Linked DNA regions of Drosophila melanogaster. The protein of the gene in region 1 interacts with the protein of each later gene in a pairwise test. Each region holds a gene or a part of one and is shown on either strand. Other genes may lie near its edges.

Region 1 (4,184 bases):
AAACGTGGTGTTCCTTTCAGCTTTTCAATGCCTTTTGCCTATTGGCACGTTGATGTCACGTTTCTCGCATTTATTGCACACATATTGTTGTTTCTGGCACTGGTTTTTCAAGCTATTTTGTAGTTGCTGCAGCAGAGTCCTTGAACGCTCAACTGACCCGACACGACAAACACACAAATGACACACACACACACACGCAGGCTGGCTTGGCAAATAAATATCCTTTTTGCGAAGAGCTCGTCACACGAAGGACTCATGCGACTCATGCGAACTTTGTATTCACTTTAATTCAATTCGATTCAATTCAAAAAATCAGCCACCGCTGACTCGCGCTCGAATAATTGTATTTTGCCAACCTTGCGGCCCGAGACGCAGGTGGGCGGTGGGTGGTGGGTGGTTGTGAGGTTGTGTGTTGGACGATGGGTGATTCGCCTGCGATTCGAACGGCGCAAGGACTCGCAGCCAACTGAATGTGTGAATGCAGCTGGGCCAGCGTCGCGCTCGTTTTCACTTTCATGAGTTTCGCAGAGCGCTCTTTCACTTCCCACCGCCCCCACGGATGGTTTTCCTCTTTTTCCTTTTTGCCAACAGACAGCGTTTTGTTTTTGCTTTCTGTATATGTGGCCGTGCCACTCGGTGGGCGAGCGGGTGGTTGGCGTTTGCAACCAGAAGAGCATGAATGGGGTGCTCTGTGGAGCACTCTTTCTCTCTTTTTTGGAAAATAAACACTGTGGCTGCACAGCACATGCGCCGTTTACAAAACACCATTGTGAACGGGCCATCCAATTCAAATTGTAACGTTTTGTAGCAAACATTTTATTGGTAAATTAATTGAATTTATTTTTTTCCATTTCTTACTAGTGGAACTTTCTTGGGATGATAAGAGAGTCTTACACCAAATGATTGGTCCCTTTAATAAATCTTTAAAATAACGACACTAAAAATGTTATGTGCTCTTTTAAAAAACATTTCAGAATAAACAATTTGTATCACTTCTTACATTCACAAAATCTCTTATCATTTCATAAAATCGAAAATCAAAAGCAACAGGTTGTAATTATTTATTTATGAAAACTCAGTTAGACACCAACGAATTCAGGTCTGCGGCAATCCTCCACTTTGGGATCGTAGTAAAGACCCGGAGTGCAGTCTAGTGTGACTCCACGTCCTTCGACGCAGTAATAATATGCATCTCGGCGAGATTTGTGTGGGAAGAAGTGAGTTCCCATAAGGGGACACTTAATGTCAGCACGACGCAGAGGGGTTCGGGAATATGGCAGAATATTCCTGGCTACAGCATCAATCTAGAGATATTTAGGTATAAATAAATAAATTATTAAATTACTCCAGAAGCAGTATAAAATGTACTTTAAACCAATCCAAAACAATCAATTTAAAAATATATATTTGAAATGAAAAAAATCCACTTTCACTTTTTCTACTCACCGTGCAGTTAACATTCTTGGCAAAGTCGCAGCACTTGCAGCTGGGATTGTAGGCCAAGCCAGGAGCACACTGCTGTTCCCACGGATGACCATTGGAACAGACGTAATACTTGCTGCATGATGCCTTACTACCCAGGTAGATGATGTCCTCTGGCTGGAAGGTGGCGGAACAGTCGTTGGCCACACAGTCCACATACTCGGGGAAGTCACAGCGATCCGTGGCGTTGTTGTACTGGAGTCCATCGTGGCATTGGCGTAGCACGGGTTTGCCGTAATAGCAAAGCACGTACTTGGTACAGGTGTTGTCGTAGCAGAAGCTGCTCAATCGGAACGACTCACAGGTGGGCAGACACTGTACCTCCTCCATGTAGGTGCACACTTGGAGAACAGGATCGTAGCCCAGCTCACACGACTTGTTCGGATCGCAAATATCTGGATTATCCTTTGCCAAATCCAAGCAGCTGCCTACTTCCTTAATAGTATTGTCTTAAATACATGGATAGTTTAATGTATTAAAAATATTTTTCATTTGCTTTAAAAACTTATGTGATGTTTTAGTGTATATAACTCACTTTCACACTCGATATATTTGGAGCAATTTCCAACATAGGGCAAATAAACGCCATCCGCCACATTGCCGCAGACATTTATCTGGGTGTTTTCGTACATATCGTAAATATCCTTATCCTGAACATTTAGGCCCTCACCATCGTCGTCTGGACCGGGAGCTACTACAAGATCTTCATCGGCCCGGTTCCGATGAACCATCAAAATGATGAATAGTAGTAGGAGCCCATTTAATAGCCACTTCACTTGGGAAATTACGATTTATTAGGTAAATGAACTATAGGGAATCCCATCGCATGAGCAACTTACTCCTGGATAGTTTGAACTGTGTGCCACAACTGTTTGCTATCAGGCCAGGAAATATTCATTTTATATCGACTCTCTTTCATCGCCTAATGAGTTTTTGCCAATTTACACTTATCAACCAGGTTATTTCGGCACACGACTCCTCTAGAGGAAAACTACGCCATTATTTCTGCAAACATTTCGACTTTCAATTTGTCACCACCAAACTTGGCGATAATAGTCATAGTCGAAATGTTTTAAATAGACTGGTTCCCAGAACCCGTGGATATCGATGAAAAGTGTTTTAATTTCCTTGCACGTGTGGTTTTTTTTTTTATCACTTTAGTGCACGAGTGGTTTAAACATTCAAAGTATTACTGCGCTAGCGATTAAGATATGAAAAGAAAAATAAATAAAATAAAAAATAATTTTATAGAATAATACATTCTATTTGGATTAACTAGGAGCATTTCCTTCCTGTACAACAAATATACATACATATATCTTGAAGAAAATCTTAAACCTAAACTACAACTTAATAATTTCTAGATCTTCAAAGTAATGGGGCTTCCTATCCAAATATTCCAAACACTTGTAACAATTACATCGGATCTTGAGCGATCCGTGGTTCGATGATCAACTGTGACTCATCAATACACGTGTTTCCTAATGGCTGACAGAGGTGTATGTTCCTGAATATTGGCTCTTGTTCACCGAACTTATCTCCGCCAGACGAATTTGAATGAGGAAGAACAATCCAATTACCACATGGAAACATGCATCCACATCCGATAAGATTGGAAATTTGCACGGAATCAAAACAAATCGCAGATTGAATGGCAAGTGAGTTTGCCTATAAATGGAGGGGTTTTTCGAGGTAAGACGATAGTAACCGCAGGAAACCAACCTTGAATAGTGAGTATGAATTGCAGCTATGGAACCGAAATGATCTAACTTGGTTTATTTTCCAAAGTGATAAGTCGCCTGACCCTTTTGGCACTGGTTGCCCTGCTTGGAAGCTGTAGCGCTGCTGATGGCGATGTCAATGTCTGCTCCAATGTGGTCAACAATCTCTTTGTTCCCCAGGTGGGCAACTGTAGCAAGTACTTCCTGTGCATGAGTAAGTCACCAGCACCTGTGGATATCTAGTTCACCGCATTATCATGTTTCTATCCCAGATGAGATAGCTGTACCCCGTGAATGCCCCACGGACTACTACTTCGATGCGAGGGATCAGGAGTGTGTTCCCCTGATGGAGGTCGAGTGTATTGGATCCTGTAAGAACCGTGGTTTGTCATCGTTCTGTTACGATCGCACGTGCACCAAGTACGTTCTCTGCTTCGACGGCACTCCGGTGATCCGTCAGTGCTCCGATGGACTGCAGTACAACGCCCTGACCGATCGCTGTGACTATCCGCAGTATGTCGACTGCGTGGACAATCTGTGCAGCCGGAATAATAATCCGGATGACATCGTTTTCATACCCAGCAAGGCTCGCTGTGACAAGTACTACATTTGCATGGATGGTCTTCCTCAAGTCCAGAACTGCACAAGTGGCCTGCAGTACAATCCAAGCACTCAGAGCTGCGATTTCCCCTCGAAAGTCAACTGCACGGTGCGTGTTTTTTTTTATCTGAAGTTTTCTGGGAGCCACATAAAAACCTATTCATTTCATTCAGGTGGAGAGCCTTCAACGGAATATCCTGCCCTTTGCCCGAGCTCCGCCACGTCTCGCCGACATTGAGTGTCCATCGGAGGGCGCCCACTTTATTGCCCACCAGAAGCGTCAGGATGCGTACTACTACTGCCTGAATGGACGTGGAGTCACCTTGGACTGCACACCCGGCCTGGTGTTCGATGCCAAGCGCGAGGAGTGCCGTGAACCAC
Region 2 (5,483 bases), 3.3 Mb from region 1:
TGGGAGAATGGAAAATGATGAGCCACATATTCGCCAGGCAATCAAAAGAAGGGTGATTAATGATCAAAGCTGACACGTGTTCAAAGAACAATGCGGAAGGGGTCGGAAAGATGAAGGGGGAGTGAAGTTCACTGGAGCATGAGAAACACTTAGAAAAAATAAAGAAGAAACATAGGTAAGATAGATCGCAAGTTGCAACAAATGTTGAAAACCTTTAAAAATATACAAACTTGTTTGTTAAGAACTACTTGAGGACATACTATAATAATTCATAAGAAATATAAGACTGAATTTATTTCCAGTACAAAAGGGGCAGAAACCAGAAACCGCAAGACTCAAAGGTTTATACACGTGCGATGCGAATTCACAGTCGTCTCCCCTCATTTTATTTTGATGGATAACAATCTCCTGGGGCAGGTAGAGAGCGGAAACTGGTAAAGGGGCACAGAGTCCCACAAACCTCAAAGGATCAGCGGAAGGCGCCTAGTTCCAGGACAAGGGGATTGGCACAACAAAAATGGAATAAATGGAGTTTGGAGTGGGAAGAGCAAACAAAATCGGAACGAGATTTCCACTTCAAACAGGCCATTTTTATGAATTTGTAATTACTCTCGAGGGGCAAACAACTCTTGAAGATATGGGATAGGATAGCCCTGAGTTGCGTTGGTTGGTTCAATGTTTGTGCATACCGCGTACTCTTGGATTTGATGAGGTAGACACATCTTATATCTTATATTCAAGAATATTTGTTGGAGAATGTTATAACATTAACTGAGTGCATTGAACCACGAAGTTCCTGGTGCATTTAACCAATATTATGTATGCAATTAGTTGTTTCTTAAATGGAAGTACTGGGTATCTGTTAAGTCTGCATACACTGCCTTCCTCACAACTCATGGCTGTCCTTCCACTATATCATTCCATTTTATTGCACAATATTTTCTAGCACCACGTTGCCTTTTTCAGGCAGATAAGCGAAGATTTCCTCCGCGATAAGAACCCTGAGAATTCCTTGAAGCCAGGCTCCTTGCAGGGCCATTGGAATTGTCAACAACAAATATTTATGATTTGCGCTGGGGTTTCTTGTAACCCTCATTAGTCAATTGTCAGCAGCTCTTGAGGGGATTCGAGTTTTGGGATCGTATCGCAGCACTTGACTCTCAAGTTCTTATTGCTGATGGATTTACAATTTCCTAAATGAAAACTCCATTTTTGTTTAAACTGTTTGACCATGAACTCCAGATGTAAATAGCCGAGTTTTGTTTATCATTGAGAGCGAGAAAAAGTGTTGAAAATCGTGCTTTGTATTCTTGTTGCATTTGCCTTGTTGTGTTTTTCCTTAATTGTTGTTTACTTTTCGAGTGGAAAGCAGGCAACACTTACATAGGAACAACAATTTAAAATTGAATTGTAAAGACGAAAACTTTTGATTACACACATTTTGGGGTAAATTGGGAAAATGAGATACTGAGGCACACACATCAACATCATCATGTCGGCTCTTGTCTTTTGAAAACTTGGCAAAACAATGAGGGAAGTTGGAGCGAAAAGTCAATGGGCGGGGGAGTTGCCTCCATAAATCTCTTTCCGAATGCAAATGTTGCGTCAGCGTGGCATCTTCACGTTTTCCTACCCCATTTGTTGTGCCTCTGTTTGGCTTTGTTGATGCTTTTCTCACTTTTTAGTTGCTCGATTCCCCGGAAGTCTTTTTTTCTTTTTCTGGAGCGAATCGAAGAGCAGCAGCTGCCAACTCGAACTTTCTCTGAAGATCCCGGGAATTCGTGATCATTTCCATGCGCCTATTAATTCATCATTGAATTATTGCCCTTTTTCCCGGTATCCGTATCCCTTCAACAATTTCCTTTGCATTTGTTTACGGAATGACTATTTGGGGATTTATTCAAGCCGGCGTCTGACTGTGCATACAAATGATACCAAAGGGGTCGCGCTATTTTTGGGGCAACTCCATCCACCAAACTCTGGATGTTGATGGATTGAAATATCTGAGGATTAACACACATTATGTTTATGAAATGTTCAAAAGGATTTGTCAGGGCCGTGATTTATGTCAAATGGTTATGTTTTTCATACGGAGCCGCGACACAAGCCATTAGAAAGGATGGAAAATGGGAATTATTGAGGGAAAGAGTCCGTCTGATCATTGACACGAGCCATTAGACCTCAAGACGCGTAAGATGATGATGACGATGGGGTGGGTGTGCTTCGTTACGGAGGGATTATATCAATGAATCGTGAAGCCCCATTAATCTTATTAAGAGCTCGGAATGAAATGTTTTTCGAGACGCCATTTAAATTGTTTTGGTAAGATGTTTCCTCGGTAATTATGGATTGTGGAGGATTATAAATTAATTTAGAGCCGTCAAGATCGGATACCGACATATTTTAAAAGTTTTCAAATTAAGCTCTTATATCTTTTATCTTCTACTTTTCACAAATAACTCAGATTTCAATTGCTACGGCATTAGCGTTTTTCAATAAACTTTTTGGCCAAAATCTTTACATTTGTATAAAACTAAATAAATATGCATGTAAATTGTTTTATTCAATTATAATCACATTTTAATCTTTCAAGTTTGAAGTGTCCATATTCACTTGTTAAATTATTAAAGTTGGCAGACAAATTTGACTTCATTTACAATTCATCGATTTGTTTTCAACTGCTCTTCCTCTTCTACAAATCCCCGAGGTCCTTCACACGAATTTGTAATCTTACCTTTTTCAATTCTCGCAAACACTGTGTAAAATGTGTGTTGCTTTTTTCGAACTTGTTGAAATGTGGCAATTGGGAATAATCCGTTGGTCCTTGAAAACAGCGGGTGGCGTAAATGAACCCGATGTCCTTCCTGCAGGACACTTAGGTGTGTATAACAAACGCACAGATTTTTTGATTTGTTGCGGTTTTTTCTTTTCTCCGCTCCTTCGGCACAGAGCAAAACAAAATGCACAAAAGTAGTTGCGGTGTTTTTGTTAGATTTGTGTAAATATATTTCTTGCACTTAATACAACATACGATGCACAATAGGAATATAAAAAGTTATTCCTTGTTTGCGCCGAATTTGATTTTGTTTTCTTTTGGTCGCGTCTGTGCGGCGAGAGTGTGTGTGTGTGTGCGATGCGAAAGCGAGCACAACCGGAGCGAGGGAAAACGCGTGCGGCTTCCAAAACAGAACAAAACTGACTGACGCCGTTTCGATGTCATGCAATTCATGCGGCTTCGAAACGGTTAACAGAGTCTTAACAGCAACTGTTAATGTTAATTTTCTTGGATTTGTTTTTATTCGGGGAACTGGAAGTGGAACGTGTTTTCGGCGAGAACATGTTTCTCTCTTGAAAAAAAGAAAAAACATAATTTAAGATATAACTTGTAAGTTTATAATAGTATACAAATTATGTCAAGCAACAGTGATTAGCATTGAAAACACCTACACAACGAATTGTTGTAATATTTTATAAGTAATTTAATTAAACTTATTAGACATGATCATAATTCATGTTTATGATTTAGTTCGAACTGGACCACTGTGCACTGGAACTGGAAGCAGCCGGCATTGTAAATTTATAAATCATAGGGGTGGCTGGAAAGCAGCAGTAAAAGTAGCGGCTTTGTTTTCCTGTACAGTAAGTGCAAAATGTTCGATGGTGATTTTATGAAAAAGGTATTGTAGTTTTGGTAAAGCGTTTATTGTTAGTGAAACAAGACACCTCAGATATTATGATCAGATCAGATACTTTATAGAACATGTAGGAGAACATAGGGTAAAATTGTTATAAATTGTTCAAGTCAACACCCAAAACCCAAAGTAGAGGTATTACGTAGTCTACAGCTCTTTATAAATATAAAACTTAAAGTTATTAAAAATTTCTGAGTTGTACATGCTTCAAATAGAAGTAGATGCCGATCTCCCTATATTTCTTTGTTATTAATTTTTCTTAAAAAGAGAGGGAAGCTGGCAAGGGGAAGGGAAAGAAGTTTGTTGATATGGCACTTTTGTTTGAGTAAAGGTTTTGATTTCGGTTTTTGAAACTCGTTTTCAAATGCTTATCAACTGGCGGCAAGTGTTGAAGCGCAGTTTATGCCGATGGGAACATCTGGCATATGTAGGGAAATTCCACGTCCTGATGCGTCATTACAGCACAAACCCTTACCCTTGGCTACCTCCAACCCAACACCCCTTTTCGCATAGGGTTTCATATCCCTACCCCTGAGAAAATTCACTTATTTGGTAAGAAAGACAAAATATAATGATTCTTTCAATCAACTTTTGCGCAATGAAAACTATAAAGAAGATTTTAATGCATTTATTTTGAGCGATACGCAAATCAACAGAATGATTCATCCACAGTTATGAGAAAAACATACGTTGTTGCAGTTTATTTAATAAAGGGCACTCCCCCAGTATTATACTTTCAATTACTATATAGTATGTGCTCTATTTTATAAAAATGTTACGCTTATGATTTATGAGTAATCAACTAATGTAGGAGATATGTCTTCAGACAATTAGGCTACCCATTTAACTAAAGTGTTTGGTAAATATTTTTCAATATTTCAATATTTTCATTGTATACCTATGTATGTACATAGTTTAATATTTATATTGAACTTGTGTCGGTTGAATTATTAGAACAGAAGCCATGACGACACGTGCTAGAAATGTATTAGAAGTCGATTCCCCTGTTCTTCCAAAGGTATTACCCCACGGAATTCCTACCCACATGTCAACAACTTTCACGCCCCGAACTATGAGGGTTCCCTATTTCATTGTGGAGCTACTGAAGCATTTCATTAGACATGATGTTAGGCGACATCTGCTACCGAAAAAAAGGAATAAATATGGTAGGAAACTAGAAAATAAAAGTGAAGGTTGGCTCGAGTTACATACGTATTTGAGTTTGACGCATGCCCGTCACGTCGAAGGGGAAGGATCAAAATGATCGCATCGGATCATTATCATGATCGCAAATGGTAACGAGGAAACCCGCAAAATGTGGGACGCCCAAGGAAAGGAAGTGGAGTAGTGAACACATGTTCCTGTCTTGTGTGGGTTGTTCTTCGGATGGAATAATTAACAAGTTTAATTTAAATTTGAACCGGAAACGTGTGGAAACCGAAAACGAAGACTTCAAGAAATTCGAGGGAGTTCTGTTCTCTGCACCACTAACCCCACGATATGTAATTCAATCAAGCAATGATTCGGTTTCAATATGCCAAGCAAAACCTCGAAAAGCCGCTTAATGTTTGAGCTCAATTATATGGCTTTTTGTTTTTGGGGGTGCGGAACTTGTGCCCCGCCCACTTTCCATCCCATAAACGCCGCAAAGTCGACTACAAATAGCGAACAAGGAAGTTAAACATAAAATGCGCGTCTTGTTTAAGCTCCGTTGCAAATTATGTTCGGACATAAAAAACCGAAACTTTCGTGTATTACCCACTACTCAACCACTGAACCACCCACTTGGTC
Region 3 (5,365 bases), on another chromosome or scaffold:
AACCGGGCACTTGCACAGCCACATTCGCACATAATCGTGAAGCGAAAGGGACGGTGATAGCGGTGGGGAACAGAGAGGGGTAGTCGTCAAAAAGCTCATTGAAATCAATTTAGACCAGAGTGTGTGCGAAGAAGAGGAAGCAGGCGGCGACGACGACGATCAAACATTAACCCAACCAACACTCGCCACACACTCGCATAATCCAAACAAATTGTTTTCCCCCAAAACTTTCTCGTGATATTTCGCGGGTGTGAAAAGAGCCGCGGCAGCTGGACACCTCACCCTCTCGCTTCCTCTCACATCCACCGATTTTCTCACATTTCTGAAAGGTTTTCGCGTACGCTTTCCTATTGTTTATTTGCATTTATCAGTGGAAAGACACAAAACAGTTGTAGAATTTTTGTGGAATTAGCAAGCGAATGGCATACCGCAGACCGAACCACGCGAAGTACGAAGCGGACGGAGTCAAAAGTCAAAACTGAATGAACTTCCAACCTGGAAGATACTTCTCCGGCTAACTGAAGCCGGGGAGGCTGCGACCTCGCTTCCAGCCAGCCACACACACTTCCAGCGCAGAGCGAGAGGGAGCGACTGTAAGAGGGAAACAGAGCACGCAGCACTATGTGGTGGGGATGTAAAAGACGTCACCGGGTCAAAGGTGCTAAAAATCCACTATATATGTATCGCACGGTGTACTCAAAGAGGAGTTACTCTATTCATTATTTTTTTTAAACTATAAATAATTTAAATAATTTATTGAATCATTATTAAAGTCTAGCTTTAATTCGCTGAATGGAAGTTAAAAAGTATTGAATTATACAAAAGACTGATTTGAAGCAAAGTGTGATTTGAACCTATACATATGTAAATCTTTGAACTATCCGATTTTAAACTGCTACAGTAAATATATCCTTAAATAAACATAGAGAACCTTAACATTTAGTAGCATAAAAGTGCCTACTACTTGAAAAAAACGCTTTTAAAACTGCTTTTGAAGCAAGAGTTGGGTATTCAACGTATCTGGCCAATTTTGCTGATAACTAGCAGTTGTTTTGACTCTTTTTTACCAAATCGGAGAGACAAAAATGATTAAAAAAATAAAAACAACAGCAAGCGAAAGGCAAAAAAGAAACGACAAGTAAAATAAATGAGGCAACAAGCCGAAAGCAAAAGAGAGCCGAAAAACCAAAAGCAGCAGCAACAACAACTAGAGAACTTGGACTTACACAGCATCCAAAGCCAGACAGAAAAGCAGACGGAAAGAGAGGGGGCGAGTGGGAGTGGGGGTGGCGAACGGTGGGTAGTGGGCAGAGAAAAAGGGATAGGGCGACGGAGCAAAGCAAATATGCGAGAAGAGAGACAATCGTGGGTTCTCCATCGACTGACAAAGCTAAGAGGGAGAAGGCACTATCAGCAGGGCGCCCATTTGCATGTGTGCGTGAGCGGGGGCGCAGCAACAGCTTGTGTATGTGTTTGGGGGCTTGGGACTCCAAGGAGTCAAGGAATTTTACAGGAAAACTACCGCAACCCGTATGAAAATTACAATTACTGGGGCATACACAAAGAGAAAATGTGATCTGTGCTATGAATTTCAAAATAATTTTTGTAACTCCAAGAAATAGCCAACTAAACTGAAAGAAATACTATTGAACGTTATTTTTACAGATTTTTAAATATATTTTAAAACATTTATAAAAACATTTTTAAGGTTTCTTGGGTTAATTCGCAGTGACATATTTGCTTTAGAGATAAAAAAAATCTCAAAACTCATTTAAAATTCAAAACATAATGAGAACGTACTCTTTGCTTCTCAGTAGTAATTTTAAAAAAACAGTAAAGATTGAGCAAAACGAATTTGGGCTTTTCGCTTTTGCTCAATCCATACAAAAATAGCTATCAATTCATTTTAGGAATGTCCATTTCGACTTTCAGTGTTGTAGTTAATGAAACAAGATTTTATTCAAGATCACTACACTTCTTTTATTCCCGTGCAATTGCATATGTGTGACGACAAAAGAATGAAAAAGAACTTGTCGAGGTCGCACGCACTCACACACACCACACACTGTTTACAGGAGAAAGCACCTGCAATTGATAACGGGTCGCCAAATGGTAAATAGTACAAACAATGCATACGCAAGGTGTCCAATTAGACCACTCAACGGCAATTGGCTTTTCGCTGCCCCTTATTTGCGTTTTACCGGAGTTGCAATGACGTACGCACGCACACACACACATGCGTATAAAAGCGAACGAGTGAGAGAGACAGAGAGCCCCCACCGCAAACATACAACCACACACACACTCGTACACGCTCACACCGTTATGTATGGGAAAACGTCACGACTTCCAAAGTGGAAAATCGTACGCGCATTTTTTTTGTTTTCCTTTTTCCACGGCTCGGAATCGAAGGTAAAACTTGCCGCAGCGCACGTCACATAATTGCCATTCATGAATATGTTTTTAGCTTCCGCATCTCGGTGGCCATTCGAGATGGCCGCGTGGGTCACGAGCTCTTTTATTGCACTCTATGCTGTGAACTGGTGGAAGCGCATATCGTGTCACGCGCTCATCACTGGAAATAGTTGCTCACCACACACACACATGCAACAGCGCTGCTGCTGCTGTGTTGTTGTTATTCCGCTTTTCTTTCAGCCTCCGCAAAAACAACAATAACAACACTCACAAAAGCTGGTCAAATACAAAACACACTTGTAAATTTATTTAATCTTCGCTCCACCGTTTTTTTTTTTCGATTTTTTCATACGCTCTGGTCGCGCTTACACATTACGATTTCTATCTCTCCGCTCTTCTTCATTTTACTTGATTTCCATTTGTCGCTTCCTCCGCTTTTTTTTGTATTTCGCTGGCGAGATTTCTTTTCACGTTGAATTTATACTATATTGCATTTATATTATTGCGCTTATCACTGGCGCTTTGTTGCTGGCTTCTTGCCTTTCGCTTACATATTATATTCACTTGGTTGGTGTGTGTGTGTTTGCACTGAACAATCGGATGCGGATTCGAAATCGCGTGGGCGCAGCGTGCGACGCGTAATTTTGCATTTAACATTTAACATGAACACACATAAATAATCGCCCTCGGCTGTTCTATTGGAATTTTTTTCTGTTATTCGTGCCGTCTACGGCGATTCTGATTGGACAACACCACCTGCTCGCGAAGCAAAAACTCGGCACCGACTCAGTGTGGCCGTGTAGCGAAGCAGACAAAATGACGAAATCGATGACGACTGCGAGACAACTCTGTGGAAGAAAGCGGATATTAGCCAACACTAAATGCAGATTTAAATTCGTTACATATTTACCAATACAATGTACATTCGATTAAAACACTTAAATCTGTAAATGAAAATTATATGTGTGCTTTAGACTTGTTGAAAATATATAAACAATGTTTAGCCTGGAAGCAAACAAAGAAACAAAACATTAAATTTATAGTAATAAAATAAAAGTTAATAGCTTGTAAGATTTTGAAGTCCTCTCTGCATCAATTTACAAGGCTTAAAGTCTTAACAAAAGGTTGGATTTCTCTGCATACTTTCAGGCGTCCATCAAAGAGTATATGGTAAGAATCAGAGCAATTGCTTTAGTAAAATACTAACCAATGAGTCATTATTTCCCCAACTTTTTGGAGCTTAGAGATAAAGTTGGCGCTTTTGGCTGGAGGATTTTTTGGGCGGCTCCGCGGTTTGGGGTCTCTGGCGTATCACCCTGGTATTCTGGGGCACCTGTCGCACTTTCTGGATCAGGATGGTCTTCGGAATCTCACGAGCCTCGTACCATCCGGGATTTACGGCTTTGACCCACGAACTGGCACAGCACTCGAAGCTGCTCAATAGTTTTGCCACACCGCCAAAGGAGACCATTTTTCTTGAGAAATAAAACTTAAAAAATCTATGGAAAATATAGAACAATCTGAAAACTGGATTATGTTCACTTGAAACTTGTAAATGAAATGAGTTTATTTGATTGTCTGTTCATGAAAGTCCTTTTCGACGCTTGCTTTTGTAACGGAAATTTCTACTTCCTGCGCAGCTTGGAATACGCACGAAACCAAGTGGCATCTTGGAAGGACCCCGTCCATGAATGAATGCCTTCCAGCTGGCCGTTGATTCAACTTTCCACCAGCAGCCACCTGAATGAAAATGGAGCCGGGAATTTCACTACACCACTAAAACGGAAATTGCGTAGGTGGAGAGAGAGAGAGAGTAAGAATGAGCGAGAGGACCAAATGAGTTACGCACCAGGAGTCGCGTGACGTCATTTCAAAGTTTGTGCACCACTGCGAGAAACTAAGGAATATATATAAGACAGAATTTAAACGATTTAAATTAATTTGAAAACCATATTTTGAAAATACATTTAAGATTGAAAGTTTTATATTACTTGAATGGACAAATAAATTTTTTTTTTTTTTTTGATAAAAATATGTTGTTTATCACAAGAATGAACAAAATATTGCAGTTCTATAGCCTTATAAACAAACATTTCATAGCAGGCCGTTTACCAATTGTCAGGGTTTTTCCAATAACAGATATGGCACCAAAAGTGCATCCAAAATTTTCAATGAACCCACAAGCCCCAATTAAACCAGAAAAAAAAACTATTCAACGGCAAAGCAAGCCAGCAGAAACTTTCAGAGTCAGCAGTTGAAGAACAAAACCTCAAGCGAATCAATAAGAATCCATTAAATCCAGCATGGTTCGGAGAAGGGTACTGACTAATTCGGCCAAGCAGGCTTCGATGAATGCCTATCAGCAGCTGTGGCAGCAGCAGCAATTCGCCCGAGCTCCATTAGTTGCCGCTATGCCAGAATATTGGCATTCCGTGTGCAACAAATTTGGTGGCGCCATGCCGCGAATGGCGGTTTTAGCTCCGCCGGAAGTCAGTAGCCGGAAATTGAGTCGTTTGCGAGGGCAGCTAATGAAATCCCAGCGAAAAAGCGCTTCGATTCAGAGCTTCATACCAAACTACGGACTGCAGCAGCATCCTCAAATGCAATTTCAAAGGGGCTATCAAAACGCCAGCAATGGATCCTATCCAAGTCGAAGTGTTTCTAAGGCAGCTCTGCTGACACCCGGTTGCATCTTAGCTGCTTGTCAAAATCAAGGCTACGGTGGTGTTCCAGCAGTGGGAGTTGCATCCGCGTCGCAGCAGCAACATCTTCAGTTGAATCAAGGAAATTTGTTCAACTATCCGGGTGCAGTTAGTCCTTTGCAGTGGCAACAACAGCAGTATCAAGTGCAGCAGCAACACAAGCAATTTCTACTGCAGCAGCAACAGCAGCTGAAGGCAGCACCTGTTGGCATTCTGAAGAATTCTTCAAGAACTGGAGCTGGTCAGCA

What was found. Proteins that work in one complex are often made in the same cells at the same time.
Region 2: the proteins of CG10154 (region 1) and Nrt interact in a two-hybrid assay, tested with the Drosophila melanogaster proteins (one large-scale study listed by BioGRID).
Region 3: the proteins of CG10154 (region 1) and Sik3 interact in a two-hybrid assay, tested with the Drosophila melanogaster proteins (one large-scale study listed by BioGRID).

The regions. Positions count from the first base shown.
Region 1 is NT_037436.4:13,434,775-13,438,958, forward strand, and holds CG10154 (uncharacterized protein), read right to left. Parts: upstream 2,363-4,184; 5' UTR 2,323-2,362; coding exon 2,322-2,322; intron 2,258-2,321; coding exon 2,018-2,257; intron 1,932-2,017; coding exon 1,447-1,931; intron 1,305-1,446; coding exon 1,080-1,304; 3' UTR 906-1,079; downstream 1-905. Other genes in the region: CG10725 (uncharacterized protein), read left to right, coding at 3,212-3,212, 3,271-3,417, 3,476-3,912, 3,977-4,184.
Region 2 is NT_037436.4:16,763,792-16,769,274, reverse strand, and holds the start of Nrt (neurotactin), read right to left. Parts: upstream 3,204-5,483; 5' UTR 2,735-3,203; intron 1-2,734. UniProt on the Drosophila melanogaster protein: May mediate or modulate cell adhesion between embryonic cells during development.
Region 3 is NT_033778.4:18,685,970-18,691,334, reverse strand, and holds the start of Sik3 (Salt-inducible kinase 3), read right to left. Parts: upstream 3,204-5,365; 5' UTR 2,785-3,203; exon of another isoform or gene 2,687-2,784; intron 1-2,686. Other genes in the region: CG42855 (uncharacterized protein), read right to left, coding at 3,656-3,886; CG44433 (uncharacterized protein), read left to right, coding at 4,719-5,365.